Linked DNA regions of Cricetulus griseus. The protein of the gene in region 1 purifies or fractionates together with the protein of each later gene. This does not show direct contact. Links are inferred from orthologs where the notes say so. Each region holds a gene or a part of one and is shown in the gene's direction. Other genes may lie near its edges.

What was found.
Region 2: the proteins of Ints6 (region 1) and Ppp2cb purify together in Homo sapiens (affinity purification with mass spectrometry; 3 studies listed by BioGRID and IntAct, with this or other methods). This does not show direct contact. The link is inferred for Cricetulus griseus from reciprocal best matches to the Homo sapiens genes INTS6 and PPP2CB.
Region 3: the proteins of Ints6 (region 1) and Ppp2r1a purify together in Homo sapiens (affinity purification with mass spectrometry; 4 studies listed by BioGRID and IntAct, with this or other methods). This does not show direct contact. The link is inferred for Cricetulus griseus from reciprocal best matches to the Homo sapiens genes INTS6 and PPP2R1A.
Region 4: the proteins of Ints6 (region 1) and Ints11 purify together in Homo sapiens (affinity purification with mass spectrometry; 3 studies listed by BioGRID, with this or other methods). This does not show direct contact. The link is inferred for Cricetulus griseus from reciprocal best matches to the Homo sapiens genes INTS6 and INTS11.
Region 5: the proteins of Ints6 (region 1) and Polr2c purify together in Homo sapiens (affinity purification with mass spectrometry; 3 studies listed by BioGRID and IntAct, with this or other methods). This does not show direct contact. The link is inferred for Cricetulus griseus from reciprocal best matches to the Homo sapiens genes INTS6 and POLR2C.

The regions. Positions count from the first base shown.
Region 1 is NW_023276807.1:217,769,398-217,776,105, reverse strand, and holds the start of Ints6 (integrator complex subunit 6), read left to right. Parts: upstream 1-2,370; 5' UTR 2,371-2,861; coding exon 2,862-2,972; intron 2,973-3,322; coding exon 3,323-3,400; intron 3,401-4,197; coding exon 4,198-4,347; intron 4,348-6,708. UniProt on the Homo sapiens protein: Component of the integrator complex, a multiprotein complex that terminates RNA polymerase II (Pol II) transcription in the promoter-proximal region of genes.
Region 2 is NW_023276807.1:51,170,569-51,176,250, reverse strand, and holds the end of Ppp2cb (serine/threonine-protein phosphatase 2A catalytic subunit beta isoform), read left to right. Parts: intron 1-1,657; coding exon 1,658-1,776; intron 1,777-3,451; coding exon 3,452-3,524; 3' UTR 3,525-4,035; downstream 4,036-5,682. Other genes in the region: Ubxn8 (UBX domain-containing protein 8), read right to left, coding at 5,388-5,558.
Region 3 is NC_048602.1:19,091,062-19,097,659, reverse strand, and holds the start of Ppp2r1a (serine/threonine-protein phosphatase 2A 65 kDa regulatory subunit A alpha isoform), read left to right. Parts: upstream 1-2,142; 5' UTR 2,143-2,223; coding exon 2,224-2,301; intron 2,302-6,598. UniProt on the Homo sapiens protein: The PR65 subunit of protein phosphatase 2A serves as a scaffolding molecule to coordinate the assembly of the catalytic subunit and a variable regulatory B subunit.
Region 4 is NC_048595.1:399,051-404,289, reverse strand, and holds the end of Ints11 (integrator complex subunit 11), read left to right. Parts: intron 1-110; coding exon 111-209; intron 210-286; coding exon 287-321; intron 322-557; coding exon 558-696; intron 697-1,101; coding exon 1,102-1,166; intron 1,167-1,649; coding exon 1,650-1,839; intron 1,840-1,985; coding exon 1,986-2,069; intron 2,070-2,520; coding exon 2,521-2,610; intron 2,611-2,689; coding exon 2,690-2,852; intron 2,853-2,938; coding exon 2,939-3,046; intron 3,047-3,129; coding exon 3,130-3,191; intron 3,192-3,275; coding exon 3,276-3,418; intron 3,419-3,487; coding exon 3,488-3,617; intron 3,618-3,715; coding exon 3,716-3,781; 3' UTR 3,782-3,943; downstream 3,944-5,239. Other genes in the region: Pusl1 (tRNA pseudouridine synthase-like 1), read right to left, coding at 4,241-4,254, 4,526-4,688, 4,760-4,814.
Region 5 is NC_048596.1:171,078,395-171,085,319, forward strand, and holds the start of Polr2c (DNA-directed RNA polymerase II subunit RPB3), read left to right. Parts: upstream 1-2,387; 5' UTR 2,388-2,459; coding exon 2,460-2,545; intron 2,546-2,642; coding exon 2,643-2,692; intron 2,693-5,253; coding exon 5,254-5,322; intron 5,323-5,456; coding exon 5,457-5,509; intron 5,510-6,925. UniProt on the Homo sapiens protein: Core component of RNA polymerase II (Pol II), a DNA-dependent RNA polymerase which synthesizes mRNA precursors and many functional non-coding RNAs using the four ribonucleoside triphosphates as substrates.

The DNA.
Region 1 (6,708 bases):
GTGCCATCACAAGCCTGGCTTCTGGTTCTTTGCTTCAGGTTAAGTTCTCTGGACTTGGCTCCCCTCCGTCTTTGCATCTGTCTCCACCACACACCTCCAGGACAACCTGCCAGCAGCACTGACTCAGGGAAGAACTGCATGGGTCTATTGGCAAGTGATTTCCAATAACTGTAAAAGGGACAGTGTTACTGATGTATGCTACATCAGCAGGCTCCTTTGATTTCCTGCAAACATGCTTTTGTTTCAGTGCCCCCCAACAAAACTGATCTAAGAAAGAGGATTAGATTTCTTTCACTGGACTGAAGGCCTTCTTCCTGGGCCTGATGACCTTGGCTGTGCTTCCTTCGGTCTAGCTGTGGCTATCAGCAATGCAGTTCTACCTTCCTTCACATTTTTAATGGCTTGATTTTTTTCTTCTCCTTTCATCATCAACTGCTGCTTCTTTAACTCATACAGGACTAGTATAACTCTACAGCACACAGGAACTAGACATTTGTATGGCCTTACAGGAGTCTGTTTTCAGACAGGCAGGGCTCACACATACCTGAAAGGCCCTGGTAAGAAAATGAGATTAAATCTCTAAAAATTATGCAATCACATGGAAAGAAAAATGGCATGGCAGTGAAAACAACTTGTCATCAATCCTTGAAGTACTAAACACAAACCTTGGAAACTACTATCACCCACGATTTAACAGGTTTCTTTTTCTTCCAGAATCATTTTCTGGCTTTCAGTGTCTTTATATTTTCTTAGACTACCACAAACTCTTTGAAGTCCCGGCCCTCATTTTTTCATATATTAATTCCCACTAGCCCTAGTCTGCAGCAGATACTGGCTGTTAGTTCATCATTTTTTTTTTATAGTCTTAATCTCTAATAATCTCATGCCTCGCCGGGCGTTGGTGGTGCACACCACACTTTTAATCCCAGCATTGGAGAATTAGAGGCAGGCGGATCTCTGTGAGTTAGAGGTCAGCCTGTTCTCCACAGCGAGTGACAGGAGAGGCTCCAAAGCTACACAGAGACACCCTGTCTCAAAATACAAAACAAAACAAACAAAAAACTCATGCCTCTACTATGGTTCATTCCCACAAAACAGTATGCTATAATTTGTTTTTAATAAATTAAAAACTTTCCGAGTTCTTTTTTTCCCTCTGAAATATTAGGAAAAGCCCAAACAACAAGGGCAGATTAAAAAAAAAAAAAAAGTGTCACAAACATGCCACTTCAGTTGCCCAGCAGGCCAGAATTTCAGCATAGAGAAAATCCGGAAATGCAGGACCGGTGGGAAAGGCCCTATAAATACCTACAGTCTAACCAGGCCTCTATGTCCCAAATTCAACTTGTGTATCAGGCAGCGTCCTGCAGTTTTCCAACTACACTTGAGAACAATTCATACGTCTTGCAGGCGCAGATTGAAGGCTTCAGGTAATGTGACATGGGCAGAGAATTTTTCTGACACAATACTGGCAGGGACTGAAAGGCGGGTTTCCGGGAAATCTATTCTCTGGGTCACCTGCGCAACGTGGTCATCCTTTCCATTTTAAAACGAGGGCAGTGGATTAGAATCTGGCAAGCTCCTTTTTTTCTTAATATACTCTAGTGCCCAAACACGAGTGGAAGAGGGGAACTTGGTTGGGGAGGACCGCTGTTTTCCTGGTCCATACTTGAGTTCCCCTTCGTGTTTGCAGGGTTGGGGGAGGCACTCCAGGACTGGCTTCCCTTTCTGTGGGTGCTCTGACTCGCTGCAGCCGGAGCCGAATGACTGGCGGGGATTAGCACCAGGTCATAAACAACCTTTCACTTCCCCTCCCCCCTGGGCCGTCCCGGGGCCCGGCCTGCAACGGCCGCGAGGGCCTGCGCGGTTCCCTAGCCCCGGCCAGTTGGCTCTCCTCAGCCCTGCACTCTCAATCGCGACGCAGAGCCCTCGCCCACAGGCTGAGGGCGGCTTCCACTTCCCCTCTCCCGACCCTGTCACCGAGCACAGCCCAAAGGCCGGCCGCCCTGACACGCACGCCCACAGCCGCTGCCGCCCTGCGCGGGCCGACCCAGTCCCCGCCCCCATCCGCCGCGCTTCCGCGGCGTGTCCCCGCCCCTTCCCGGAGCCCGCCTCCCGGCTGCGGGACCTGCGGCCGCCCCTCGCGCTGGCTCTAGCGCGCACCCGGTGCCCCGCCTCCGCGCGTGCTCAATAACTGTCCTCTGAGTCTGCCTACAAGCTTCCCCCGCCCCTGAGCTGTTTGAATATGCTAATAAGGCTCTAAGGACCAGCCAGTAGAACTGCGGGCCTGCGCATCACGTGACACGAGTACGTGTCAGGGGCGGAGCCTACGTAGCCCCTGCCCGAGTTAAAACCGGAGAGTGAGAGAGAAAAGCGCTTCAGTAGCGAGAGGGGCTGAGAAAGTGGTGACACCGCTGGGGTGCGGAGGGAGTCCCTGAAACTTCTCCCAACAGCCCCAGGGCCAATCTCCCCTCAGCCCAGTCCCCTCTTCGCCAGATCCCTGGTCCCCACTCCCTGCACTGGGGGTGGGGTGGGGAACTGGGCCCGTCTCCCGCGGGGACACACACAGGGGCCGGGAGTGGGGACGGGACCCCCAGGCGGGGGGGACGGACGGACAGGCGTCCGTGCGGCCGCCCCAGCAGGCAGGCAGGCAGGCCGGAGGCAGGGGTACGACCGGGAGGACCTGGGCTGGGGAGTTTCCTCTCAACTATCGGGGGAGAAACTCCCCGCAGCCGGTGTTTTCCTCCCGGGGGCCGCGTTCCCCGCCCCGCGTAGCGGCGGTTGCCGCCGCCGCCGCCGCCGCCGGTGCTTCCACCTCTGCCATCTCTTCACCACCTCGGGCCCCGGTGTCCCCGGCCAGCACTATGCCCATCTTACTGTTCCTGATAGACACGTCTGCCTCTATGAACCAGCGCAGCCATCTGGGCACCACCTACCTGGACACGGCCAAAGGCGCGGTAGAGACCTTCATGAAGGTACCGACTGACCGAGCCCCGGCGGCGACCCCGACCCGGTGGCCCGCGGGGGGCAGGGCGGGGGGCGGCGGGGCTACTGCGGGCGCCTCGGGCGCGGGGACCCCTCCCACCGCGCGGGCGTGCGGGCGGGCGGGGCGAGCGGGCGGGCGAGCGGGCGAGCGGGCGGGCGCTGGGAGCTGGGAGCGGGCTCCGCTGGGCCTGGCCCATGTGGGGCTACTGTGGGTGCGGGGGTCGGCGGAGTGGTGGCCCTGTGTGTACGGTACTGTGGGGGCGGCCAGCGACCCTTCTGCGACTGGTAACCTCGCCTCTGTGCTTCCTTCTCTCCCTCCCGTCCCCACCCTGGCCCGCAGCTCCGTGCCCGGGACCCTGCCAGCAGAGGAGACAGGTATATGCTGGTCACTTTCGAAGAGCCGCCCTATGCTATCAAGGTAACAGCCCTCGCCCTCCCCCCTCCCTTCCCTGCTCCTTCCTAGCTCGCCCTCCCCGCCCCCCTCTTCATTATGCTCCCCTCCCCCACCGCGGCTCCCGCCTCCAGGTCCCTTCCCCTGTGGCCTCCCACCCCTCCCCAGCTCGGGAGCGCCGGCGCGGTGGCAGTTTCTGGCCCACCGCCGTCCCCTCCGGGTCTGGCTCGGCCTGGCGGTGGAGGCGCTACGATCAACATGGCCGACATTTCCCCTCCGCGGCGTGAGCGGCAGCAATGAACTGTGGGGGATATTTATTCAAGTTAGCCCGAGTGACAGCCGGGCCCAGCCTTGCCTAGCCAGGGTTTGCATTAAAAGGGAATCAGCCAAGCTGGCAGGGAAGCCAGGAGGGGGGCTTCGAGACTTGGTCATCACAGAGTGGAACTAGGAAGGCCACCGATTGGTGGGACAGCTGTGGTCAACTTAAGAAGTCCTGCTGCCATCTGCCTTCCACTAGTACCTTCGCAACACCCACCCCTTACACACAATTTGGAGGATGTTATGTTAGCGAATTTCCCAGTGAAGTTATTAAAGTATTAAGACTGTGTAGGGCAAGCAGGTTCATTCTTGGCCACCTTTGGAAGAGATTTCCTCACCCAGAGACAACAGTTATAACATGTGACCCAAGCCATATCAATCAAAAGTGAAGTTAACTATACAAACCCGAAGTGGAATGCCTGCTTGGTGGACATCACATTATAATCGGTGTCCATGTGTGCTGTGGCTTCAAATGATAAAAAAAATTCTTACATCTTTCTTTTCAGGCTGGATGGAAAGAAAATCATGCAACGTTTATGAATGAACTGAAAAACCTTCAGGCAGAAGGACTTACGACTCTTGGCCAATCCCTAAGGACAGCTTTTGATTTGTTAAATTTAAATAGATTAGTAACTGGCATAGACAACTATGGGCAGGTAGGTTGAATACTAAGGTAGAAAAGTTGTTTTTATTTATGTGTACAAAAACACAATCCAGTCCAAAAGTATGCAACATGAAATGCAAGTATAAAACATAACAAGGTTGAAATTTAGTGTGCACACAGTTCAAAACACCTAAGGTGTATGAGTTCCCTCATTTTCCCCTTTAAGTGTATTTCCCTGTAGACTTCGAATCTAAATTCTTGGCTATAAAGTTGACATGAATTTGGTTTCAGTCCCTCAAAGTTCATAAAAGACATCAAGGGGAAGATACCCTGTGAATACACCACTCTGAAACTATGCCACGTGTAGGTACATATGTAACTACTGCAGTGGGTCACAGCTGTCCCGTTGACTGCAGTTTCTTCTATATTAGTAAAGACATTGGAAGACATGACTGTTAGATGAGGGTTTAGCTTAACCTAGATTGTATACTTGCAAAGGTGAGATTTGTCAGTAGTGCAGTCATTGGTTGACATTCAGATGTCTCTTGAGGCCTATACTATTAGAAGTTACTATAGTAGGAAGTCTGAAAGTAATGACAGATTGAGAATTTTTAAAGTTTAAAATTTCAAAACCCTTGGGAAAATGTTTTCTGGGAAACATGAAAACTTGCCTGTCTTTCTGAAGCTCCTCAAAGTTCCTCTCATTTGTGAGGATGAGGCAAGAGCTTTAAGTCACAGCAGTCATTTACCAAGGAAATGTGAGATGATCCATTTATGATATGCTATCCTAGAAATAAAAGATAACAAAGAATATGTATTGCTGCACACCAGTAGTATCACACCCAAGAAATTCAGTATGCAAAGCACTATTACCATAATACTATATTTAGGAATATATGTTATATACTCTTCCCAAGTTCCATAATGCACAGTTCTCATGAATTTTGAACATCTCAGGGAAATTCTTCCTGTGACTTCACAAGCTATATTCCTCATTTGAGGATAACTCTTAAACACATATCCTCCTTTAAAAATGGTGGAATTTAGTCCTATAGCATTTAAAGTATGCATTACTAGTCAGACTTTTCTGAATGCATTTCCATCATTTAATTAATATCAACACGTTATTTTTTCTTTTTTGTTGCTGCTTTGCCACTTGTTGGACTGTTTCTGTAAAAGAGTTTTATTTCTTTGTTGTATGTAGTGGTATTTTCTTTTATCGTTTAAGATTTTAATCAAGCTTTGCCAAGTTCAAAGACATTTGAAACTTGCTATTTAGTTCCTTAATTTTGCTGTCAGGTTGTGTGTTGTAGAACTATTTCCAATTTTCTTCTGTCCCATTTGATAAGGGGAAGGGCATTGGGATACATCCACCTTTGACTACATACTTAAAACATAGCAAAAAGTCCTTTAGGAGAACTGTTTACTATGGGGAGACCCAGGGTACTTGTGTACTTTCTCTTTTAGGAAGTTTAAGATTGAAGGCAGAGCTTTTGTGTTTTATCACTTGGAATCAGAGAAGAAAATATGGGGATTGGGATGTTCTTACTGATTAGGGTTTATTAACTTACAACAAGGAAGGATAATGCCTCATTTATTTTAGTGAATCAGGATTCAGTAAGCAATGTTAATAGTTTTTGCTTATATCCTGAATTAGTACATAATGAAACTAGCCTTAAAGTAATTAAGAAGCTACAATTTCTCAATTAATGGAAACATTTTGAGTTAATTTTACTTGGAAGAAAACATGCTTTTGGATTTTTCATCATAAAAACATTTTTCTTTACTTAAATATTTGATATTTCCTATTTATATGAATGTTGGAATTTTGGATGATTGAAAGTATTTAACCCTGAATATTAATTTGGGTATTTGAAAAAGAACTTTGTAGGATAGCTTTGTTCTGTAACCTTAGTATTTTTGTATGTAAGTACTGCATGCTGAATAATAGGAATACTTGATATAGTCCCAGTAGTTAGAGGAAATGAGAAAAGGTGGGTTATCTGGAAGACAGCATGTTAGTCTAAAGAGCATCTATACATCTTAATATAGTTCCAAATTATGTTCTTAACTATGGGTTAAACGCACACATATTTATTTGTATATTTACATCAGTAACCTTTTCCCATATACATTTTCATATTGCATTTACTAACTTGGCATTCTTAATTAGGTAAGATACTCAGAATTGTAAGGCTGAAAGAGCTGAGTAGAAAAGATTGACTGGTTTTCTTAAGCACCTTTAGGATATTCCACTAACAAATTGCCTATGTAGAAGGTCCTTTTAAATGTTTGGTAATCAGTACCATTTGCTGATATTTCTACAGTCAGAGATGACTATGAACCTCCCAGTCACCCCTTCCCTTTAAAAGCAGCACCTTATTAAATTGCTTATTGCAGATAAACTTTTTGT
Region 2 (5,682 bases), about 170 Mb from region 1:
CCATTCTCTTTTTAAATTAAGACATAAAACCTGTGAAAATAATAGTATATATATATATATATATTTTTTTTCTTTGCTCAGATTCCTAAGCATATATATTTGTTTTCTCATTCTTTCTCCCCACTTTACTTTCTTCTGGTGTTTGAATAAGCCCTGACAAATGCTCCTTATCCCCAAATATCCATGTGTATTTTCCTAAACTGTTGTGACGCATGTTCCAGTCAGAATGTTTCCATTGGTATACTCCTACCTAAATACCCAAGTCAGATTATTGTAACATCCAGGTTTACAAGTAATTCTTCAGATTTTCTTGATGTAATCTTGATGGTTTGAAATGACCAGAGTTTTATTAAGAAATAGCTTTCTAAATCTGGGCATGGTCGGTGCTTGTAGTCCCAATATTTAGAAGGCAAGGGGGGTCATGAGTTTCAGTCCAGTCTAGGATATATAAGGAGACATTGTTAAATAAAGTTCCCTTGAGAGGGGCTGGAGAGATGGTTCAGCAGTTAAGAGAGCATACTGCTCTCCCAGAGACTCCTCGGTAGAGACTTGACTAATGTTCCTTACGATTATGGAGTTATTATATGCATGTTTGAGTTGCATGCTCTCAAGTGATGTGTCTTTGGTGCATTGTATCAAGGAGATTTGAAATCTGTGCCCTGCCAGTTTTATAAACTGGTCACTTAGTTGAGGTGGTAGCTGCAGCAGCTCCTATTGTTAGTATTGTTAATATTGGTGGAACAAAAGAGAACGAAATCCCTCTAAACTAGCAAGGAATGACTTTAAGGAGGTGGGAACAAACTTCACCAGCCCAGAACAGTCAAGGAGCAGTGTAGGAGCATGATTATGAACACAGCATTGTAGTGCCATTAAACCTCATTATAATTATATAATCATAAATGTCAATGATGACTGGATACATTTTAAATATAATGACAAAGACTTACTTTCCTAAAAGTCAGAGACTTTGAAATTAGAAGATTATCAAATTTCAGTTATTATGAGATAAAACTAAAACATACTTAAAATATCACAAATTAAAGAATGGAAATGGTATGTTGTGAATCAAGTAGATAATTACCAAACATAGCCCTTGACGTGAGTGAGGAGTCTGGTGCGGGTGACCATTAGATTATCCAGGCCATTACTGATGAGCATTGGCTCAGCTCTCCCATGAAAGCTTACCCAAGTTGCTGTTTGCCCAATACTAGCTTCAAGATTTCTGTAGCAAACTTTGGAAGGCAGGCACTTTCTATCATGTCTCGGCACTTGGGACCCTAGGGCAATTATAAATTTGAGAATACTGTGACCAAATGGCAAAATTCTTTCTCAAAAGAAAAGAACAACAACAACAAAAAAAAGGCACGCATACACGGTAAGTAAGCAAATAAATAAAGTGCTTGGCAGAGTTTATGAGGAAAAATGAGATTACCATCTTTGTCTGAAAAGTTCAGTGTATACCTTAAGCTAAGATCTCAGTGGTTACTGAGATCTATAGACTCTTGTACCTAATAATTGTCCAGTATTCTGAGCAGGTACAGAAACTGTTGATCACAGGAGATAACATGATTCCGTAGCCACAGAAGTACTTAGGATTTGAGTTCTGTGTCAAGATTGAATTTAATGATGAAACAATGACCTTTTCTTACTGTTGCAGGGATATAATTGGTGCCATGATCGGAATGTGGTTACCATTTTTAGTGCACCCAATTACTGCTACCGCTGTGGGAACCAGGCTGCTATCATGGAATTAGATGACACTTTAAAATATTCTTTGTAAGTAACTGTACATTTTAATTTATGTAATCACTTTAGAGGGAAAAGGTAACTGGTAAAAAACAGTTAGGGGCTGGAAAGATGGCTCAGCAGCTCTGAGCCCTTACTACAGTCATGAGAACTGAAGTTCAGATCCCACAAAGACCTGTAACTCCAGCTCCAAGGGATCCAACACCCTCTTCTGGCCTCTAAAGATACATGTACATGTGTGCACAGAGTCATATACACACGTGCACGCATGAATAAAATTAATCTTCTTGGAATGAAAACCGTGAAAGAGTTCTGTTCATCGTAAAAATTGTTTTCTTTTGATATGCTGGGCATGCAACCATGGCCTCATTCATACATGCCAGTTCATTGCTATGCCACTGAGCTATACAGCCCAGAAAAGGGTTTTAATTATTTACAGTTCATTGAAATTTTCCCAAGAGCTTATAGGTAATGGAAAAACATTTAACCTTAAGAGAACCATAAGCCAGGTGCAGTAGTACACATACTTAATCCCAGCACTCAGGAGGCAGAGGTTGAGACCAGTCTGGTCTAAGCAGTGAGTTCCAGGACAGCCAGGGAGTACATACAGATACCTTGTCTCAGAAAAACAAACTAACAAGACAGAGAAACCTGTCCATTATAACTACTAGAGGCTTGCATCCCTTACTCACACATTATTCTAACAAAAACAACTATAGTGGAGCTGGAGAGATTGTTCAGTGGTTAAGAACACTAGCTGAGTTCAATTCCCAGCAACCACATGGTGGCTCACAGCCATCTGTAATGAGATCTGGTGCCCTCTTCTGGTATGCAGACAGAACACAGTATACATAATAAATAAATCTTTTTGGGGGGAAGAAAAAAAGAGACTACTTAGGGTACAGGAGTGATGCAAGTTAAATTCCCAGCACCTACATGGCTGTTCACAACCATCTGTAATTCCAAGGGTTCCATCTTCTGACATCTATTTAGTTAGTTAGTTAGTTATTTAGTTAGTTATTGGTTTTTCGAGACAGGGTTTCTCTGTGGCTTTGGAGGCTGCCCTGGAATTAGCTCTTGTAGACCAGGCTGGTCTCGAACTCACAGAGATCCGCCTGCCTCTGCCTCCCAAGTGCTGGGATTAAAGGGGTGCGCCACCACCGCCTGGCTCTTCTGACATCTTTGATCACTGGCAATCATAGCACAAAATTTTAGAAGAAGCTTAAAGTAATAAAACATGTACTACTGGGGGATGTGGCTCCACTGGCCCCTGCTTACCTAGCATACCCCACAAAATGAACCCCCCCCCAAAAAAAAAAAAGAAACAGATAACAGACAAAAAAGGCACTTGATAAAATTCAGTGTGCTTTAAATAAAATCAGTAAGCTACACAGAAGGAAACTTGCTGTGCCTGTAGACAAATACTCACCCTGATTTAGCCAGGTGGTGGTGAGAGACAGCACTGACCCAAAGGCCCTTAAATTGATAATAGTGTCACAAGTATTTTCTGCCAGGCACTAACAACCATGTTACCTAACTTTTCACCATAACTCTGTGAAGTAATATAATTTATCACAGGTAGTGACATGCTCAGAGTTATTCCAGCCACATGGAATGTAGTAGCAGAAGAATACAGAAAGGATGGCTTTGTCTAGTGAGTGTCTTAGTGGCTTAGCTGCTGATTCAATTTCTTTGTCATTTATAGTCTTCAGTTTGACCCAGCACCTCGTCGTGGAGAGCCTCATGTGACCCGGCGTACCCCAGACTACTTCCTGTAAATTCTTCCCCAGGACCTTTCTTTGTATGTGGAAGTATACCTGGCTTTTTAATATATATATATATATATATGTGTGTGTTATATATATATATATATTTAAAAACAAGTCATCTGTGTGTTTCTGTAACAAATTGTGATATGTCTTGACATTAAACTACATCATGGACCAAACGTGCCATACTAATGATGAGCGTTTAGCACAATTTGAGACTGAACTTACTACACTGTGTTCTAGATCAGTCTGCCTGCTGTGTTGTAGGAACCATTCTTCTTGGCTGGTTAAGCAAAAAGGGGTCACTGACTGCTTCATCTCCTTTGCACTTGGAAATTTAGTTACAGTGTTTAACTGGCATGGATTAATAGAGTCGGAGTTTTATTTTTAAGATTTCACAACCTGACTTCCACTTAATTCATTACCCTGTATTTTATTGAAATGTGTAACTAACTGAAGAAGAGATTCTTGGGAGTATGTTGTCATAACATTAAAGAGATTTCCTTTCATTTAAACTAAATTACTGTTTGATGTTGATCTGCATTATTTCTGTATATTTGTCATGACAGTGCTTGCATCCTATTTGGTGTACTGAACAAATAAACTTTCCAATTTAAACAAAAATATTTTAGCTGTGATATGCATTAAGTGGAAGCATCACCATTTTAAAACTTGATACAAATACTTAAGACTGTGGTTATTTGTTTTCCATTTACTTTGGATTTTAAGATGGTCATGTATAGTCCCAAATGACCTTAAACTCCTGGGTTCCCCTGGCTCTACCTCCCAAGTGCTAGGATTACAGGTGTAGGACACCTTGCTGAACCACAATTATCTGATGTGTAATAAAAATAAGCAGCTGTACTGACAGGATTTACATGGTAAGCTTAGGGGCTGGGGATTAACTCTGGTAAGGTGCTCATTTATATTCATTTCCAAGTTACATGCACACATGCAAGTGCACACACACACAAGTAATGCTTGTTTATAGTTTACATTTAGAAGCAGAACAAAGTCAAGTATTTGCTGATAACTTTAGGCCATTAAAAAATCCATTTTCACATTCCTAAACATTTCATTGGGTGGTCTGTATTAACTTATTCTTTTGGGTAGGAGTGGGGAGGGTTGAGACAGCGTTTGTCTATAGCCTTGGCTGTCCTGGAACTTGCTCTGTAGATCAGGCTGGCCTCAAATTCACAGAGACCCACCTGCCTCTGCCTCCCAAGTACTGGGAGAGAGAGTTCCAGGACAGCCAGGGCTGTTACACAGAGAAATCCTATCTCCAAAAACAAAAAAAGATAAAGATATCTTAAGACAGACTCTAAGGGTATCAGTACATACAAAAAAACAACAGCTCACACCCCAAATGTACTTGCTTACTGTAGTTTCAATATGCTCCCCAAAGATCATGTTTCAAAAACTTTGTTCCCAGATTTAAGTCAAAAGTACATAGGATTAGTCCACTCTGAAATTTCTTTAAAGTCTTTTAACTTTTTAGAAATACAGTGGTATCAACATTCCTACTTAAAGATTTTGAGTTGTAAAATACTGTGGTAAGGTGGATTCAAGAAGCAGAAATCACAGTTCTTATATAAGGTGAGAATTGGTTTGTTTTAAGATGGTCTGACTCAAAAATTCCAGGAAGCATGTTTCACCAAGCCTGGCTGAGACCTGATATCAGGTGTCTGTCTTACTACATCTTTTTTACCTTGTTCTCACTTTGGTACAATGTAAGATGACATAGTCCTCTTCCATTGTATGTAGGTGTGCTCCTATGAACAAGAAGAGTTCAAGGTACAGCATGGCTTTAATGTGAACACTGCCCTGTGAGGTCACATGTACTGACTTTAAGGACAACAGGTAGTTCTGACTTTACTGGCCACTCTGTTCTTTCTCTTCCACGTTAAGTACCGTATCCACAGTTATTCCTATGTCCTCCAGTGACAAGCCTCCCTCTGTCTCCAGAGGCCTCCTGGGAAAGGAAGTGGAAAGACTATATATGGATTTGTGGTACCCAATCTTCATCATCCAGTCAAGTAAGACCTAGAAGATAAAAAAGGCTTTAGTATCAGACTAAAGGTTCTCCAGAGTCTCTTACTGTGACACTGTACAGCTGTGTCATTCTGAAATTGTGTCCCAAGGAATGAAAAGTGATTTCCACATCTTT
Region 3 (6,598 bases), on another chromosome or scaffold:
CTGACTAATAATTCTACTGACCACTTGAAAGTACTAATCATATGCTTTCTACCTAATACGCAGAGCCTGCAATTATATAACATACATTTCCATTACTCATTGTATATATTTTGTTGGGTCCAGATGGTCTTCAATTCCTTTCTCAAGCATGAACCCTGACAGAGATGTGGTCTCCTGACTGAAAAACTGTAGGCATGAGATAAAGCCTAGGAGGAATGTGCACTGGGGCAAAAGAAGTCAAGGGCAGGGAAATGGGAAAGAAAGAATTCAGATGATTCAGCCAAAGAGACTGTTTCTCAAACTCGGCTTGCAATCTCCAGGTGCTAGTTAAACAACATATAAACAGCAATGGGGAAAAAAAATAAGAATTGCTCATTCTGGAAGTGAACCCAGGCTCTTGTGTCTCTGTCTCCCATCACCTTCTTTCCAGGACCCTGAAATGCCCAGGTGTGTTGACCATTGTCAGGAGCCAGCTCCGGTCAAATATAAAAAGTCCTTCTTTACAGAGGCTTGGACAGGAGACACCTGCCCTGGCCGGAGAGCAATTGACATTTATTCCTCCCCCCACTTCCTCTTTCTCTGCTTCCTCCTTTCTCTTTAAAAATCCCATTATTATCAATAAAATTTAGACCTTGACAAGACCACTGCTTGGTCTCGCTTCTTCTTTCTCGACCATTATTTTCAGGCTTGGTCCACCTCGAACCCACGAATTACCGGAGCCCCCCTGGCCGGGGCAGACCATGGCATAACTGTTTAACATATAGTTTCTAAATGTAATAATATCCTAAAATATAATCGTTAATCATATATAATTATGTATTTGTGACACATATGTCCCCAAATTCAGATCTATCTTTATATCAATGTCACTAGAAATTAAGGATTTTCAGCAGAAGAGATAAGGAGTACAAACAGAAAATCAAAATACTGCTAAGTGAAAACCTCAGTTTTTAATTCGGATTCTCACGATTTACATAAATTGATTAAGCATGCCAGTAAGAACTCATCGACATCTAAAAACGCCTATTCACACTAACCCCTGACAAGCCCAGTACCGGTTATCCTCTGGTAGTAACAAACACAACTTACGCGCCCCCACCCCATCTTGTGACTATAAAGGCATCCAGGATTTCCTAAAATGTCTAACCCAAGACAGTTCAAGAGGAGAGACTGGAAAAGCATCGCTAGATACGAAGGGAGACGACACAGGAAAGGGGAGAGGTTTCTACACAGATCATTCAACTCGGGAGGGACGCCTCGTCCACACAGCAGCGTTAGGGGCCACCTCTCCATACCTCCCCCGGGCTTCCCAGTTCTCGTGCCTCCACTCAGGGCCAGACAGAGACACACTTGGATCCCAAGGCACATCACGGATTACCAATGCCCACTCTCTCCGGAAGGGCGTTTTCTGTTTTAATTGTCTCTCTATTCTGAGAAGAGGGAGGGGGGAGGCAGGGAAGGGAAAAGCAAATTTAAAAAAAAATTACAAAAATAACCATGGGTCGCTAAGAGAAGATAATCTTCACAAGGCTGCAGCCAACCCTGCACCTTGCTCCCTCTCAAACGTGCATTTTTCAGTCTTAAGGGGACGTGACTGTGAGAATTCATAGGAGCCGGTAAGGGGGCGGGGGTGGGGGGGGTCCCAGCGCTGGGCGTACACCCGCAAATACCTTCCGGCTCGCTGACTTCTAACCAAAGAACTACATGTTCCTCAGCCGGATAGCAAGGGCTCGCCCAGTCCGCCCCGACCAGCCTGTCCTCCACTACGTCACTCACCGCTCTCCACACCCCACCTTACGCTCTCTCCGCACCGCCCCGCAGAGCCGCACCCCCGCCCCCCGCACCTCCCACCCTCGCTCCTCATTGGCTCAGAGCCCCGCTCGTTTCCGCGGTTGCCAGCGGTAACGCGAGGCGGGCACAATTTCGGTCGCTAAGACGCCCCACTTCCGCTTCCGATCGCCCGGCGGAAAGCCCAGCCCGCTTCGCCCCGACCAATGGAGCGTGGGAGGTAGGCGGGACTTGGTTGGTGTGGACCAAACAGACGCGACCCGGGGCGGCCAATGGGGGTGGGACGGCCCCTGTAGCGTGGCCCGGGAGCCCCCACGCCCTCTCGCGTCCTTCTCTCTCCCCACCCGCTCCCCCGCCCAACACGGCGCCGCCCCGCCCGATCCTGGATTCCGCCCGGCGCTGGCCGCAGCTTGACGGAGACGCCGGGGAGCCAAGATGGCAGCTGCCGACGGCGACGACTCGCTCTACCCCATCGCGGTGCTCATAGACGAGCTCCGCAATGAGGACGTCCAGGTGCGCCCGGGGCGCCCTGCCCTTAGAGCTGGGTCGTGGGGGGGAGACCGGGGACCTGCGGGGCGGCGGCGGAATGCGGGACGGACGGGGAGACAGAGAGATGGCTCCGGCTGCTCCGGGAGTGGCGGAAGGCAGCGGCGGCCAATCAGCAGCCGCGTCTCATCGTGCCGAGGGGCGAGACTCCATGAGACGGCGCTCCTGATTGGCCGTGGGCCCCAGCGGAGGGCAAGCCTCGAGGGTCCCTCCTGGGCGCGCGCGGCCGCCCGGGGAAATCTGTGCCCGGCGGCCCGAGATGGGCTGGGGCAGGGAGCCTGGGGCCGGCGGCCCGTCGGGTGATTGGCGGCGGCGGACTCGGAATGACCCCCCCCCCACCCGGGGGGGCGCGTGAGCCGCCGAGGAGGGGAAGCCCTCCTGGGTGCTGGGGACCTCGATTTCCCCATTGCTCCTCGGTGTTTTCCATCCTGGGCCCCAGGGGTGCTGATAACCAGGGCAGCAGCCCACTCCTCTCGGGCCTCCGCCTCGTATTGATGCAGGAGGAGGGGAGAGGAGGACGTGGAAAGGCATCCTCCTCTCCCGAAATTCGACTAGCCTAATTCAGGGACGGGTCACGTGTGCACACGCCACCCCACCCCACACCCCCTTCCCCAGGCTCGCCCCAGGCCGGACTTTTTGCCAAGGGAGGTGATAGTTCAGGTTGGCGGGAGAAGAGTGACCCAGGCCCAGGGGCTTTTAGTGGGTCTGCTGTGGTTCTGAAAAAAAAAAAGAGAGAGAGAGAGAGAGAGGTCAGACCTCAAGGCCTGAGGATGACCTTGTGTTCACGTTGTTCCATCGCCCCTGGCTTCCGTTTTCTACCAAATACCGGCTAATAATAGTCCTGGCTTACCCCGGTGGCTGAGGAGAGGTAGTAAAATAAAACTGGCCGCTTGTAAAGGCCCCGTAAATGTTAGCTGTTATATTTGAGGGGAGTGGCTTGTTGTGGTACCGTGCTCTGCGGCGGTGCCCCTGTTTCTCCTGGTGGTGCACTGGGTAACCTGAGGCTGCGCCCAGCCTCTAAGTCTCGTGGATATGATTCAGGTTCTGCTGCCAGACAGGCTGGAGCTGTATTTCCGGGCCTTGCACGTTTTGCTGATTGACCCAGGCAACCCAGTGTGAATCTCTTCGGTTAAATGGGAATAGCAACCTGGTTTTAGTGTCGAGTAAACACATGCGGTGTTACCAGGAATGTCATTGTTGGGGGCAGGCGTCGTGGTGCATGCCTGCAATCTCAGCACTCAGGAAGCAGGGGTGGTAGGTTCAAGGCTAGCCTAGTCCACATAGTGACACACTCTGTTGTATCAACAAAGAAACAGGCTGGTTGCTGCCCAGGAGCCAGGTGTGAAACAGGTAAAGAGAACTAAATAAATATACTACCACCTGTGAAAAGGGACGAGACCTGTCGGTGTTGCGATAATGAATCAGCAGTTGTTTGTTGGGCCTGTGTTCTGAGCTGTGCTCTGGGTGTTTGGGTACATCTGGGAGGAAAAGGACAAAAACTGGCCTTGGAAGAATCTACCTTGTAGTGAGGAGTGGCAGATTGTGTTGACTGTGAAAGGTTGTAAAGAGAAAAATAAGGAATATAGGGTGTATTGTTAGAGTAAGTGTGGAGAAGTCTTGTTGAAAAGTTGAGCCGGTACCTGCTTGTGGTCAAGGAAGGAATTGTGGGGTTCTGGGCAGAGTGCATAACATCTAAATGTTGGTCGAGGAATTGGACCAGTTCAGAGACTCCTTCCAGGATGCAATGCTTGAGAAGTTGGGGGTGAGGCTTACAGAAAGAGGGACTATACCTGTGCAATGACTGTAGTCCTCAGCTTGAAGCTATTTTTGCCACCAGGGATGTTTAGCAATGTCTAGGGATGTTTTGGTTGTCATAACTGGGAGATTGTTGCTGCTTTTAATGGGTATGCGTCAGGAATGCTGTTATACATTGTTGTTGTGTATAGGCCATCCCTCATGGAAGAAAAAAAGTCCCATTTAAAGACATTGGTACTAAGGTTGAGGGAAGCTCTTGGATGAAATATGCACCCAGGGATAGTAAGGAAGTTGGTTAGTTTAGGTCATTGTGCCAGTTTTGTAAGGCTTCTGTAACACTTTACCATAAATTTAATAGTATAGAGCAGCATAAAGTTTTATTTATGGTTCTGGAGATGAGAAGTCTGTCATAAGTCTCACTGGGTGAACATGACCTAAGATCTGGCAGCTGATTGATAACAGCCTAGCTTTGAATTCAAGCCACATGGCCTCACAGCTTTCTGCCTCTTCTTCAGCATTCACAGTGCCATCTTTCTGGGGGGGAAAAAAAAGGACATTGTTAACAAAATCAAAATTTTTGAGTGAAAGAACAGCTGCCCACAGGTGGCAGGGAAGCGCCATATTTAGGATCCCAATTCTTATGCATATTTGGTTTTTTGAGGCAGGGTTTCTCTGTAGCTCTGGAGCCTGTCCTGGAACTCGCTCTGCAGACCAGCCTGGACTGGAACTCACAAAGATCTGCCTGCCTTTGCCTCCCAAGTGTTGGGATTAAAGGCATGCGCCACCACTGCCTGGCTAATGCTTAGTTTCTGGTTGGGGGTTCATTGCTTTCCATAAAGTGTCTGCATCAGCATCCTTGCTTTTTAAAATGGCATTTCTGGAACAAAACCTCAAAGCAGAGTGTCGAGTGTGTTACTACACAGGGAGCAATCTGTAGATGTTATGTGCTGTTATTAGTGGCATTAAAATTATGACTGTGATTGCATCTGCTCCGTGATACCATCCATTGTTCTCAGGGCTGCTGTTCCCCAGTTGTGGCCCATGCATTTCCCATCGTCCACCTGGGAGATGAGCACAAACATCTGCATGCCTTAAACACAAAGGGGGGAAAGGAAGCAGGCTGCTAGGACAGCCATCCCTGTAGAATTTCATTGTAAAAATTGAGGCAAGAACATTGGAAAGCTAGTGCACAGGTCAGCAAAATACAGGCTTGGACCATATCCAGCCACTGCCAGCTTTTGCAAGTGAGGTTTTGCTGGAATACAAGCCAGGCCAGTTTATTTACATAATGTCTCCTTCCCATGGCTGTTGCTGTGCTTCGAGTTCAAGTTCAGTGGTTCAGCAACAGTGAGTGGCCTGTGAAGCTGGGAACATTTACTGGCAATTTAAATAACAATTTTGCTGGGTACTCAGCAGTGCACTGAGCACCTACAACCACAAAACTCAACAAAACCCATGTGGAGCTTATTGGGGAGGAGATCAAGGGGACTAGGTGCGGAAATGAAAAGGGGGGAACAGGTGGGAAGCACTTGCTTAAAAGGGAACGCTTGCACCTGTGTACAGAGTCCTAACACAGCCATGCAATGGAGGGCCCTTTGAGCTTTCTAAATGTCTGCCTGAACGCAGGTATGCTACCCTCCCTGGTGTCAGGGGGCGGGGTCAGCATAATGCCAGGATATCAGCAGCACCTGCAAACTTACTGCCAACATCTAGGGATTGTTAGTGTTTGCAATATTTGGTTTTTTAACCTTTCCATAGACCCCTGCATATCTTATAGGCCTTAAATAAGTTTTTCCGAACTTAAAGTCCTTCATTTATTCTGATTTTTTTTACTACCAAAATGAGATTGGGAGCCTCCTTTGTTGTTTCATTGCTCCAATAGCCAAGGTAATGTTGTTCTTTTTGTTTTTGTTTTTGAGGTAAGGTATTGTTTCGTAGTGCAGGCTGACCTGGAACACATGTTGTTTCTGCAGTAGCCTCTCAAGTGCTGGGGTCACAGGCTTGTCCTGCTGTGGTCAGGTACAATTTTCATCATAGCATTCTGTCAGATTCTTAGCATAGTCTGTGAGCTCAGAGATTGCCTCCTAAATCCCCTGATGCAAGAACCATACTTGTCCGGGATCACAGTCACTTGTAGACCTCTTTCCAGGTGTCTGGGGCCTGGAAAGGGAGCAGATAGAGAGAACCCACTCCCTCACCTTCCTCCGTCTGTCCTCTTTTCCTTCCAGGAAGAGTTCCCCTGTGTGAGAATGGTTTGTAATCCCTCAAGCATCGCCTTTTTCACAACATTATCTTGTTACATTTCTGGGACAGCTCTGGACCTGGGTAGAAAGAAAGCACCCTGTGGTGAGGTGGAAACAGACAGGAAAGTTGACATAGTCAGCTCTCAGGACTGGTCTAGGCAAGAGTCTCCTCTTCTGAGCCTCAGTTCCTGTCGGGTGGAGAGGCATGGTCACATGTGTTCTTCCCTAGGATGAAAACCATCAAGTGAGAACCTAGCATGTAAATA
Region 4 (5,239 bases), on another chromosome or scaffold:
GCTTTTGGTTAAGTCCCAGACTTCTGAGAAATGAATGGACTGAATAGGCTTAAAGTAATCATCTACTTCCTCCCTGCCTTGCAGGCCTGAGAACATTCTTTCTTCTGCAGGTGGATGATGAACTGGAAATCAAGGCATACTATGCAGGCCATGTGCTGGGGGCAGCTATGTTCCAGATTAAAGTCGGCTCAGAGTCTGTGGTCTACACGGTCAGTGGAAGTACTTGGCTTGAATGAAATTGCTGGGGGCAGAAAGACACCTTTCTTATTGCCATTTTCTTTACCAGGGTGATTATAACATGACTCCAGACCGGCATTTGGGGTGAGTAGGCCTGTGTTTCACTCTGGGGGAACTTCCTGGGAGTTAGATAGTTGGCATCTAAATGCTCAGCACCCTACCTGGTCCTCCCATGCAGTATGTGACAGACCATATGGAGGAGCTCATGTCAGGGTGACCTAGAAATGTGCTGTGATGGGGCTACAGTCCACTTTGCCACTTGGCTCCCAATTCTGTAGCCATGAGCAATCCACTTGACCCCATTCCTACCTCTGTTCTAGGGCTGCATGGATTGACAAGTGTCGCCCCAACTTGCTTATCACAGAATCCACATATGCCACAACCATTCGAGACTCTAAACGCTGCAGAGAACGAGATTTCCTTAAGAAAGTTCATGAGACTGTGGAGCGTGGTGGGAAGGTATTGACTGTGTGCAGGCTCCGGTGTGTGCCTACTGTGGCTACACTGTATAGGTCTCCCAGCAGGCTCTACTGTCCTACCTGTGGACAGGGTCTCTGGGTGTGGGGATTACTGTTTATTTGGCACTGAGAGATGGATTCCAGAGAGTCTTCCTTTCCCTCGTGCTTTCCTCCCATGAAGGGGCTGTTCAAGAGCCTCCCACAGTTCCTGCTATCTCTACAGGGGTATATACAAAAAGCCCTGTAGTTCTTAGATGTCTGGCTATTCCTTTGCAGTAATGCTATCTCTGAATGTTATCATTCTACCTGCCTGCAAGAGTATAGCAAACATCTTGCTACCTGCTGTGTTCAGGGAAAGGTAGTGTGGCCAGTGGCTCCCACCTGAATCAGCCTCACCTACCATCAGGTGCTGATCCCTGTATTTGCGCTGGGCCGGGCACAAGAGCTCTGCATCCTGCTGGAGACCTTCTGGTAGGTACAAACAGGAATATTCCACAAGTGGGCAGGAAAGGATGGAAAAGCCTCTGTGTAGGAGAGTAAGTTCCTCACAATGCCAGTCACAGCAGAACTGTTGAGAAGTCAAGGCCACAATGACTACCACTAGGTACTTTGTGTCCAGGATACAGTACCATTGGCCCTGCTGTCTTGGTGGAGCTGTCCATGTGTTGGGATATCACATTTGAACCATTATCTGCTGGCTGTATGGGTCACTGCATGAATGCTGAGTCTCCTCATATGAACTCTAGGGACCCCTGTCACTCCCATGTTTGTTTTATAGGACACAAGCTGAGAGGTCTGGCCCAGTGGTCATAAGGAGACAGCATGGGGTTCAGTTCAAGGGATATTGAACTCTGCTGTGGCCATAGCTACTAAGTAGTGCAGTAGAGGGCATAGGGCCACATGTTGCAAGCTAACTCTGGCCTCCCTGCACTGACTGGGCTGGTGGACACACAGGGAACGCATGAACCTGAAGGTGCCCATCTACTTCTCTACGGGCCTGACAGAGAAGGCCAACCACTACTATAAGCTCTTCATCACCTGGACCAACCAGAAGATCCGCAAGACATTTGTCCAGAGGAACATGTTTGAGTTCAAGCACATCAAAGCCTTTGACCGGACATTTGCTGACAACCCAGGTCCCATGGTAAGGCCCTGGCAATGCAGCTTCTGTACACCTGGCCTTCAAGGATCCCTGCCCGTGGAGCTCTGGGAAAGACTGCTGACCAAAGGTCTGGTGCTTATTGCAGCCCTGGGTAAAGTCTACTCTCCTGACCCTTGTCAACCCTGCAGGTTGTGTTTGCCACACCTGGAATGCTTCATGCTGGCCAATCTCTGCAGATCTTCCGAAAGTGGGCAGGAAACGAGAAGAACATGGTGAGGGTTTGAAGCCAATTTCCAATTCTTTTTTTTTTTTTTTTAAGATTTTATTTATTTATTATGTGTACACCATTCTGCTTCCATGTATATCTGCACACCAGAAGAGGGCACCAGATCTCATAACGGATGGTTGTGAGCCACCATGTGGTTGCTGGGAATTGAACTCATGACCTCTGGAAGAGCAGTGCTCTTAACCTCTGAGCCATCTCTCCAGCCCCCAATTTCCTATTCTACAGGGGCTCGTTATAGTCTTAGGAAACTGGAGTACAAAAGGACTGGCCCTTGAACTTTCTGTGTGTTGACCCCATGATGACTCTGCTATTACTGTGTTCTGCCACCAGTAGCCCAGATAGGCTCTTAGCCTCCTGAGGATTCAGGTCAGGGGTTGCCCCAAGAACAAGTGTCTACATTAGGAGGCTCTGTAGCTGAACCTCACCTATGCTTTCAGGTCATCATGCCTGGCTACTGTGTGCAAGGCACTGTGGGCCACAAGATCCTTAGTGGGCAACGGAAGCTGGAGATGGAGGGGCGTCAGGTGGTGAGTACCTTTCTGTCCTGGGCTCAGCAGGGCTTCCAGCCTCTTGCTGCTGCTAAGTCTGCATCTTGTGACACCACAGCTGGAGGTAAAGATGCAAGTGGAATACATGTCATTTAGTGCCCATGCTGATGCCAAGGGCATCATGCAACTGGTGGGACAAGCAGAGCCGGAGAGTGTGCTGCTGGTGCATGGCGAGGCCAAGAAGATGGAGTTCTTGAGGCAGAAGATCGAACAGGAATTCCGTAGGCAACTGGTGGGCAGGGATGGCCTGTGGGATGGTACAGGCCAGGCTGGCAGCCTAGACTGAAGCTCTGTATCACTTTCTCAGGGGTCAGCTGCTACATGCCAGCCAATGGTGAGACAGTGACGCTGCCCACCAGCCCCAGCATCCCTGTGGGCATCTCCCTGGGGCTGCTGAAGCGGGAGATGGTGCAGGGTATGAAGGGCAGCCTGGGGCGCGGGCTGAGGGAGGCAGGTTATTGGTGGCTCGTATTGACTTCAGGGCTCCTTTCCTCATAGGACTGCTCCCTGAGGCCAAAAAACCTCGGCTCTTGCATGGCACACTGGTTATGAAAGACAGTGTAAGTGTGTAAAGAGTGACGGAGTGGGGATAGTTTATAACATTCATTACTTCCCCTGACCTGCTGCTTGCCCTTGCCCTACAGAGTTTCCGGCTGGTATCCTCAGAGCAAGCCCTTAAGGAGTTGGGCCTGGCTGAGCATCAACTGCGTTTCACTTGTCGGGTGCACCTGCAGGACACACGCAAGGAGCAAGAAACAGCCCTCCGTGTGTACAGCCACCTCAAAAGGTGCGCTTTGGCTTTGCTCCCACCCCTACAGGCAAGGTGAGGCAGGGATCTTACTATGCCTTTCCACAGTACCCTCAAGGACCACTGTGTACAGCATCTCCCTGATGGCTCTGTGACTGTGGAGTCCATTCTTATCCAGGCTGCTGCCCACTCGGAGGACCCTGGTACTAAGGTACTACTGGTCTCCTGGACCTACCAGGTAAGGAGGATGGGCATCAGTGGTATGTATGCCTGGAGACCTCATTTCCTTGGTATTATATTGTCTGTGGGTAACTGAGCTTCCCTCTTTCCTTGTAGGATGAAGAGCTGGGAAGCTTTCTCACAGCACTGCTCAAAAATGGCCTTCCCCAGGCACCCAGCTGACATGTAACCACCAGCAACCCACCACTCTGTCTCTTGCTGTTTGCTCAGCAGAAGGATCAGGATTTTGGCTTTGGGAGGTGGGTGCCCTGAGTAAATGGACACTGTATTGGGCCAGAGTCACACAGACTGGTTAAAGTAATAAACAGGTCTTTTTGTTCTTTATGCATTTTATTCCTACTTTGCCCCAAGATGGGGCTCCCAGAAAAGCAGGACCAGAGGCTCTGTTTCCTGCTTGGTACCCCATCCTTTAGTGACAAAGGGATGGCCACAGTGGAAAGACTGGGGAGGTGGGAGCTGCTGGAAGGTAGGCAGGGCTGTTAGACCCCACATAGCTGTGGATTAATCTTTGCGGAGTGCAGTAAGTGTTGGACAAGGCTGACAGCCACTTAGTGTGCCGTGTGGCTCTTCACCTCCACTGAGTGTACAAGTTAGCTGGTTTCACACTGGACCTTACAGGGCTCAGGATGTTGGTCCTATGGAGAGACCCTAGGTCAGTAGAACTCTTCCTACGGTTGCATCCAGAGACCCCCACATACCCCCTAAAATCTGAACCCATGGATCACTCAATCCATGCCACCATGCTTTTGATCACTGATCCTACCTAACTGAAGTCCTTTTCCCACTGTCACTGGCTTCCCCACTAGGTGTTTGGATTCTCATCTGGTATAATGGGGGGTTTGATTGCCTCCAAAAGCCCCCTCCCCTCAGTGAGGGCCCAGCTGTTTCGTATCCCACCCCTCTTACCAAAGTCATCATATAGCACCGACTTCAAAAACAGGCCACGGGCTGGGGCAACTCGAGCCTGATACTTTCCCAGGGGATCTTGACTATCCAGAATCGCTTTTACCTCTGTGGGTGTCAGAATCCCTTGTCCCACAGCCACCAGCACAGCTGTCATCCTCCGTACCTACAGCAGAGAGCTGAGATAGTCACAGGTATTTACCTGAGCGCACCCTGGGAGGGTCTAGTACAGCCTACCTGTCGATATAGGAAAGACTGGCTTTCAAACTCCAACGTCCAGAACTGCAGTCTCCTAGAAACACAGATAATTTTGATGTCCAAGCTACAGGCAGCCCCAGCCACCCATGTGGCCTCAGACAAGACAGATTTAAATGCTCATCTATCCAGGGTAGGTTCTTGCCTAGCTGACCACCAGTTCCAGAGGGTGAGTGGGTATTGCATAACTTTTCCTGGAGTCTATATATGCTGTCTCAGAAAACAACAGAGTGTGCCTGTGCACAGGGGATAACAATTGCTTTGAGCCTTCCTTTACGTGGAGGGGTCACAGTATGGGTGCTGAAATGGACATAGCCAGCTCACCTATCAAGATGGAACCCTGGCCATGTACTTTTGTGCCTAGCTACATTGAAGCCCTCCTCCCCTAGGAACTTGATATCAGCTGCAACGTGCTCAAGGTCAGTAGCTGGTTCCCAGTGGGAAGTCCACTAGACAGTGCAG
Region 5 (6,925 bases), on another chromosome or scaffold:
GTTACAGCAAACTCTTTATTCTCTGGTAACTTCTGCCTTCTGAGTGCATTTCTTTCAGGGTTCTGTTTAAGGGCCTCTTTTCTCTGTGTGAGCCACTTTTTTGAGGCCCATTTAAATGCTTCAGGTGCAACTACACAGATCTGTAGAAGTGGAGAGCATTATATCTTTACTTCAGAAGTACATTGAAAGTGTATCATTCAACACATGGGCATTGTTGAAGTATACTTTGGGGACCTTTGAGGCAGCTCAGTGGTAAGAGCACTTGCAGTCAGGCCTGCCATCCTAAGTTCAGTCCCAGGGGGTCACATGGTGGAAGGAGAGAATTGATTCCAACATTGTTCTTTGACTTCACACACATGTGTCGACAACCATTGTGTACATACACACATGTAATAAAAGACATGTGTTTTGTTTTTCGTGTGCGTGTTTCAGCACTTGCTGAAGTGTGTGTGTGTGTGTGTTAGCACTCTTGCTAAAGTTAGCTCAGGTGTGGGTTTTTTGTTGTTTGTGTCGAGGTACATTATCTAACTGGCCTGAGAACTTTTCTTTGTACATCATCTAACTGGCTGAGAACTTCCACCTTCCAACTGAAAGGAGCACTAAGATTACAGAGCTGCATTGCCATGCCCTGCTTTACATGAGATCTGAGGATTTGAACTTGGCCCCTCATTTTAGAATATAAATCATCTTAACACACTTAGTCACTTTCTTCAGCCCTCTTGTTCATCTATAGATGCACACCTCATCCTTTTTTTTTTTTTAATTTTTTTTTCCGAGACAGCGTTTCTCTGTGGCTTTGGAGGCTGTCCTGGGACTAGCTCTTGCAGACCAGGCTGGTCTTGAACTCACAGAGATCTGCCTGCCTCTGCCTCCTTAGTGCTGGGACTAAAGGTGTGCGCCACCAACGCCACCACCACCCAGCCACAACCTCATTCTTTTAAAAGGTTTCGTTGTATTCTGTGTTTTTAAATTATTCTTATGTTTTTTATTTTTAAAATGATAATATAACTACATCATTTCCCCTTTCCCTTTCTTCCCTCCTGCCCCTTCCTTATACCTCTCAAATCCATGTCCCAGTTTTTTGTTAATTATTGTTACACACACATTCCTAATACATGAATACAACCTGTTCAATTCTTGTAATGTTACCTGTATTTATATGATCCTGGGGCTTTTGATATTATATTGGATAACCCATTGCAGGGCTCTTCCCTGAGGAAGGTTATTTCTACCACTTTCAGCATCCCCCGGTTCTTTGTGTAGGGTTGAGATCCCTCTCCCTTCCATGTTAACATGTCCATTGGCGTCGTTGTTCAAGCCTCATTTAGGCAGTAATGTTGGTGAGACTTGATGTGTGTAGCCTTTGTAACATTTCTAGGAGACACAATCTCACGGCAAACGTAACGTTCCTCTGGTTCTTACAGTCATTCCACTCCTCCTTCCTCAAGGATCCCTGAGCCTTGGGTGTTGAATTAGCTGCAGATGTATCAGTTGAGACTGAGCACACAACAGTCTCTTGTTCTCTGCAATTTTAACTGGTTGTGGGTTTTTTTGTTGTTGTTGTTCTTGATGTTTTGTTTTTGTAATGGTCTCCATCCTTTGCAAAGAAAAATTTCTTTGATGAGAGGTAAGAACTGTATTATCTTCACATGGTTCCCCTGAGAATCTTTAGAACCTTGATCCTTCTTCCAGAAACCAGCAGATGCCCCCTCAAACAAATGTGTCAAATTGCCATCTCTCTTTCACATTAGTAAGAGAAGCCCTCTTACTACTGGTCAAATGTCTCCTTGCTTCATATAGTTTCAGAGGCTTAGTTCATTATCATCATGGCAGCATGGAGCATGGCAGCATGCATGGTGCTGGAGAAGTAGCTGAGAGCTGTTTACATCCAGATCCAAGAATAACAGGCATAGAATATTTTTTAAATTATTTATGTATACGGGTGTCTTGCTTGCATGTATGTCTGTGCACCATGTGCATACCTCGTGCCTTCATGCCAGGAGAGGGCATCAGATCCCCAGAAACTGGGGTTAAAGGCATTAGTCGCCATTCGGGCGCTGGGAATCCAATCCAAGTCTTACAGAAAAGCAGCCGGTGCTCTTAACCATTGAGCCCCATATGTATGTATGTTTAACCAAGTCTCCATCCATCATTACCTAATGAGTTATTCTTAGCAATTACAAGTAAGTAGCACTGGTATGAATAACCCTGTACATGTACCTTTGACCTTTGTGCTATATATCTTGGGGATTCCAAGAGTGTAGGGCCTGGTGCTTTTTGGAAGCAGAAATTTTGGAGAGTGTGGTTAGAAAACGCAGACCAGGAGAGTTTCGGCCTCCGGTCAGCAGGTGGCGCTGCGCGCACGCCTAGCCGGAAGCGCCAGGGACCCCGCCGACAAATTGCTGGTGGCGGCGCAGGCGCGCTGCGGGACTGGCTCGGGAGACTGGCTGCGGGTCGCAATGCCGTACGCCAACCAGCCAACCGTGCGGATCACGGAACTCACCGAAGAGAACGTCAAATTCATCATCGAGAACACGGACCTGGCGTAAGGCGGCGGGAAAGAGGCGGGCGGGCGGGTCCTCTGGCCCCCTGCGGGGCTGTGGCTTCGGGGCCGCTCACACGGTCTGGCTTTCCTCCTGTAGGGTGGCCAATTCCATTCGGAGGGTCTTCATCGCCGAGGTGCCCATAATAGGTATGCGACCCTCCCCCGGGGCCCCTGCCGCTGCCCCTCGGCCCCAGGCGGGGGGCTGAGAACACTGCGGTGCTGCACGCTGGGCTGGGGCCGCCGGGGCCAGCAAGCCTTGGTGCGCGCCTTGCTCGGCAGTGTGGATCCCAGCACAGTTCTGACTACCCGAAAGCAACAGATAAATTAAGACTAAGCACTACCAAAGAGCTGAGAGCTGCGGCCTCCTTATCCATAGGATGTAGACGCTAGGACTCGTTAACAGATGATACCCGGGATTACCGAAGTCGTGTAGATATCGCGCCTTTACTTTTAAGTCAGTGTTGGATTTGGGTGTCTTTTGAAAACGTATGTTAATTGTACATAATAACGGGCTTCGTTAGGACATTTTCACGGACCCCCCCCCCCCCAGTACTTGAATTGTATTCATTTCCCCATCCTTTCCTTTTATTCCCCTACTACTGTTGTCTCCCGGCCTTCTTGATAGTACCCTGCAATATTTTCTTGTCTCTGACTCTCTCTTCTCTAAAACATATTTATTTACGTATATATGCATGTGTGGAGGTTGTACAGCTTGTGGGAGGGATTGAACTCAAGTCTTGACAAGTAAGTGCCTTTACCCTGCTGATCCATCTCGCAGCCTGGAACTCTATTTAAAAGACTTATTTATTATGTATACAGTGTCCTGCCTGCAGGCCTTAAGAGGGCACCAGATCTCATTATAGATGGTTGTGAGCCACCATGTAGTTGCTAGGAATTGAACTCAGGATCTCTGGAAGAACAACCAGTGCTCTTAACCTATGAGCCATCTCTCCAGCCCCGAATTCTCCCTTCTTAAAAGTTGAGATTCAAAAAATAAATAAAAATAAAAATTTAAAAAAGTTGAGATTCCGCATGAGAGAAAGCATGTTTATTTTTATGACTTCTTCCTGCAAATGACATACTTTTGTTTTTTTATGGTTGAATAATACTCTGTGTGTGTTTGTAATACCACTTTTTAAAAAGTCTCTTTTTAAAAAATGGATCTCTTACTTCCTCTGCATGTGTAGATCATGTACATTCCAAGCTAGGTGTAGAGACAAGACATGGGCAAACACAAGGCAAAAAATGACAGGTGTCTTGGGGGGTTTTCATCAGGTTTTCTTTTTTCTTTTTTTTTTTTTTGTTTTTTTTTTTTTTTGAGAGAGACAGACAGACAGTGGAAGGAAGGAAGGAAGGAAGGAAGGAAGGAAGGGAGGGAGGGAGCTCAAAAGGAGGGAGTGGCAGCATCTGTAGACACACAAGGTTTTTAGAGGCTAGGAGTTTTCACCTGCCAGGGTGTGGGAGGGTGGGGAGGTAGAATAAAGGCATGGGAAAGCTTGGATGTGTGCCCTTGCTTGGGTTGAGGAAGTACTGCAGGGCAGAGCAGGTTGAGCCTATCATTGTCTGGTCTTCTGACCTCTTTTCCATGTGTCCATGCCGGTTATTTGAGAACTGGGCTCTAACACCATTTGGTTTCTGAATTTCATTGTTTACATGCAGGTGTTTGCTTATGAATGACTAGGTACATATTTAAGTGAAGCCTCTGTAAGCACATAGTCTTATTCTGCGAGCAATGAAATGGGAGGGATTGGGTTTTATTGTTAGTATTTGCTTCCTATTGAAGATGTTCAGTGAACAGCCACTGATGAGAGTAACACTGAAATTCTAAGGGGTGATCTGGTTATTTCATAAAATGAGATGTGGATCACAGCAGTGTTGCTTCTATGATGTTTTCCCTAACTTTAAATTTTTAAATTATTTTTAATTATGTCTCTGTGTGTGGGTCTGTGCAGGTGGAGGCAGGTGCTAGAGGAGACTAGGGGGTCTCAGATTCCCCTGGAGCTGGAGTTCCAAGCAGTTGTGAGCCACCTGCCATGGGTGCTGGGAACCTCTTAACCACTGAGCCATCCCTCCAACCCATGTTTCCCCCAACTTCTAAGTGCCCAAATAGCTTTTGTTCTTGGATATGATAGTAACAGAATATAGCAGATTTAAAGTGCTCTTTGGGGAAATATTCAATTCCCTAATTATTACACTCCTAAAATACTCTCTAAGTGAATGTTTATTTTTATGGTACCAGTAAGCCCTATACCCAATTCACTGGAGGCAGCACGGTGTTAGGTATGGTGTGTATGTGTGTGTGGTTTGTTTAAATTGGCTGCCTGAACCTCGAGCTAGCCCTGTGGAGGCAGTCTGTGGCAGCCTGGCCTGGATACCATCAACCCTAAAAACAGTGATTCTTTTCTTTCTTTTATAAATTTGGTTGGTTGGTTGGGTTGGTTTTTTTTGGGGGGGTGGGGTGGGGTGTTTGGTTGGTTGGCTGGTTGGTTGGTTGGTTAGTTGGTTTTTTTTTTTTCAGGACAAGGTTTCTCTTGTAGCCCTGGTTGTCCTAGAATTCACAGAGTTCTGCCTGACTCTGCCTTCCAAGTGCTGATCACTAAGTAATACTTAAGTCTTGAGAACAGGGCTGTATGTCTGGAGATGCTGGAGGATGTCAGATTCTCAGATGGTGGTTGGTCTCACTTGTGCTGTTTGATTGCCTTTTCCAGCCATTGACTGGGTTCAGATTGATGCCAATTCCTCAGTCCTTCATGATGAATTCATTGCTCACAGGCTTGGTAAGTTTGGGCAGGGCATTGAGAAGTGGAAGGGATTAAAGGGGGGGTACCTCCTTTCCCAGCCTGAGGGACTTACTTGTAGGTTCTTGTGATGGCTTAGCTGTACTACAAAACAACTTTTCTGTGTCTTGCAGGATTGATCCCCCTCACTAGTGATGACATTGTGGACAAGCTGCAGTACTCCCGGGTATGTGTGTTGATGGGTAGATTGGAGGCACAGGAAGGGGGGTTCAGGAGGGACTGACTAGTTCTCCCAGAAATCTTTCTTCCTACGTTCTGACTATAGCATAGTTTAGAAAGCCATTGTGGAAGTGATATCTTAATACTGTGATCTTTGGTTCTGATGTGTTTTCAGCACATCCAGGCATCTTATCAGTGTGCCTCACAGAAGGGGACACACCCTGGAATGCCAATAATTCTCGTTTTAAAGATAGCTTTTTCACTTTTATGTGTGTATATGTCTGCTTCTGTATTGTGTGTGCAGATGGGTTAGGGTACTGGAAAAGGTCAAAAGAGGCCAGCAGAGCCCCTGGAGGAGCCCCTGGAGCTAGAGTTACAGGCAATTGTGAGTTGCTAGATGTAGATTCAGGGAACTGAGCTCAGGTCCTCTGCAAGAGCAGCAAGTGCTCCAGACCTGCCTCCCCAAACACATTTGTTTTTGGAGGGTGGGTTTTTGTTGTTGTTATTTTGTTTTGTTTTTCTATATCTTTTTTAAAGATTTATTTATTACAGTGTTCCACCTGCATGTATCCCTGCAGGCCAGAAGAGGGCACCAGATCTCATTGCAGATGGTTGTGAGTCACCATGTGGTTGCTGGGAATTGAACTCAGGACCTCTGGAAAAGCAGTCAGTGCTCTTTAACCTCTGAGCCATCTCTCCAACCCTGTTTATTTATTTATTATTTTTTTTAAGACAGGGTCTCACTATGTAGCCCTGGCTGGCCTTGAACTCCCAGAGATCTGCCTGCTTTGCCTCCTGAGTGCTGGGATTAAAGACATGTACTACCATGTCTGGCTGAGAAACGTTAATAAAATGCCCCCTTTTTTCCCCTCTGTAGTTACCAAATGCTAATGTTTTATTACATTTGCCTCATTTCTTATATAGTGTTATCTTCCCCTAACCTTTTAGAAAATAAGTTAGAAGCATCCTGAGCTTTCTCCTGTAAATACTTGAGCACATGTCAATGTGCTGTAATCCTATATGCCTGTATCCCACTATTTAGGAGACTACCTAGTGAGATATACCCTGTCTAGGAATGTACAAAACACCCCAAAGAATGGCAGATGTTGATAATTAAGAGGCTGGAAGGTGGGTATGTGATAAGTGGCAATCAGTCCTCTATGTTTTTGTATATGGGTGAAATTTTCTGTAAGAGGTTTTGAAGTAAAGATTAGCTGAATGCCTGTATAACCCTAGCACTTGGGAAGTAGTAATGGGGGGATCTGTAGTTTAAGGTTCATCTTCAGCTATGTAGTGTATTCCAGGCCAGCCTGGGCCACATGAGGACTCCCCACTCCGGGTAATCTAGAATTTGAAAGGTTCTTGCTCGTTGTAATTCCCAAGTTGGTCTGAGTATCACTGCAGGTAGAAACTATAGTCCCAT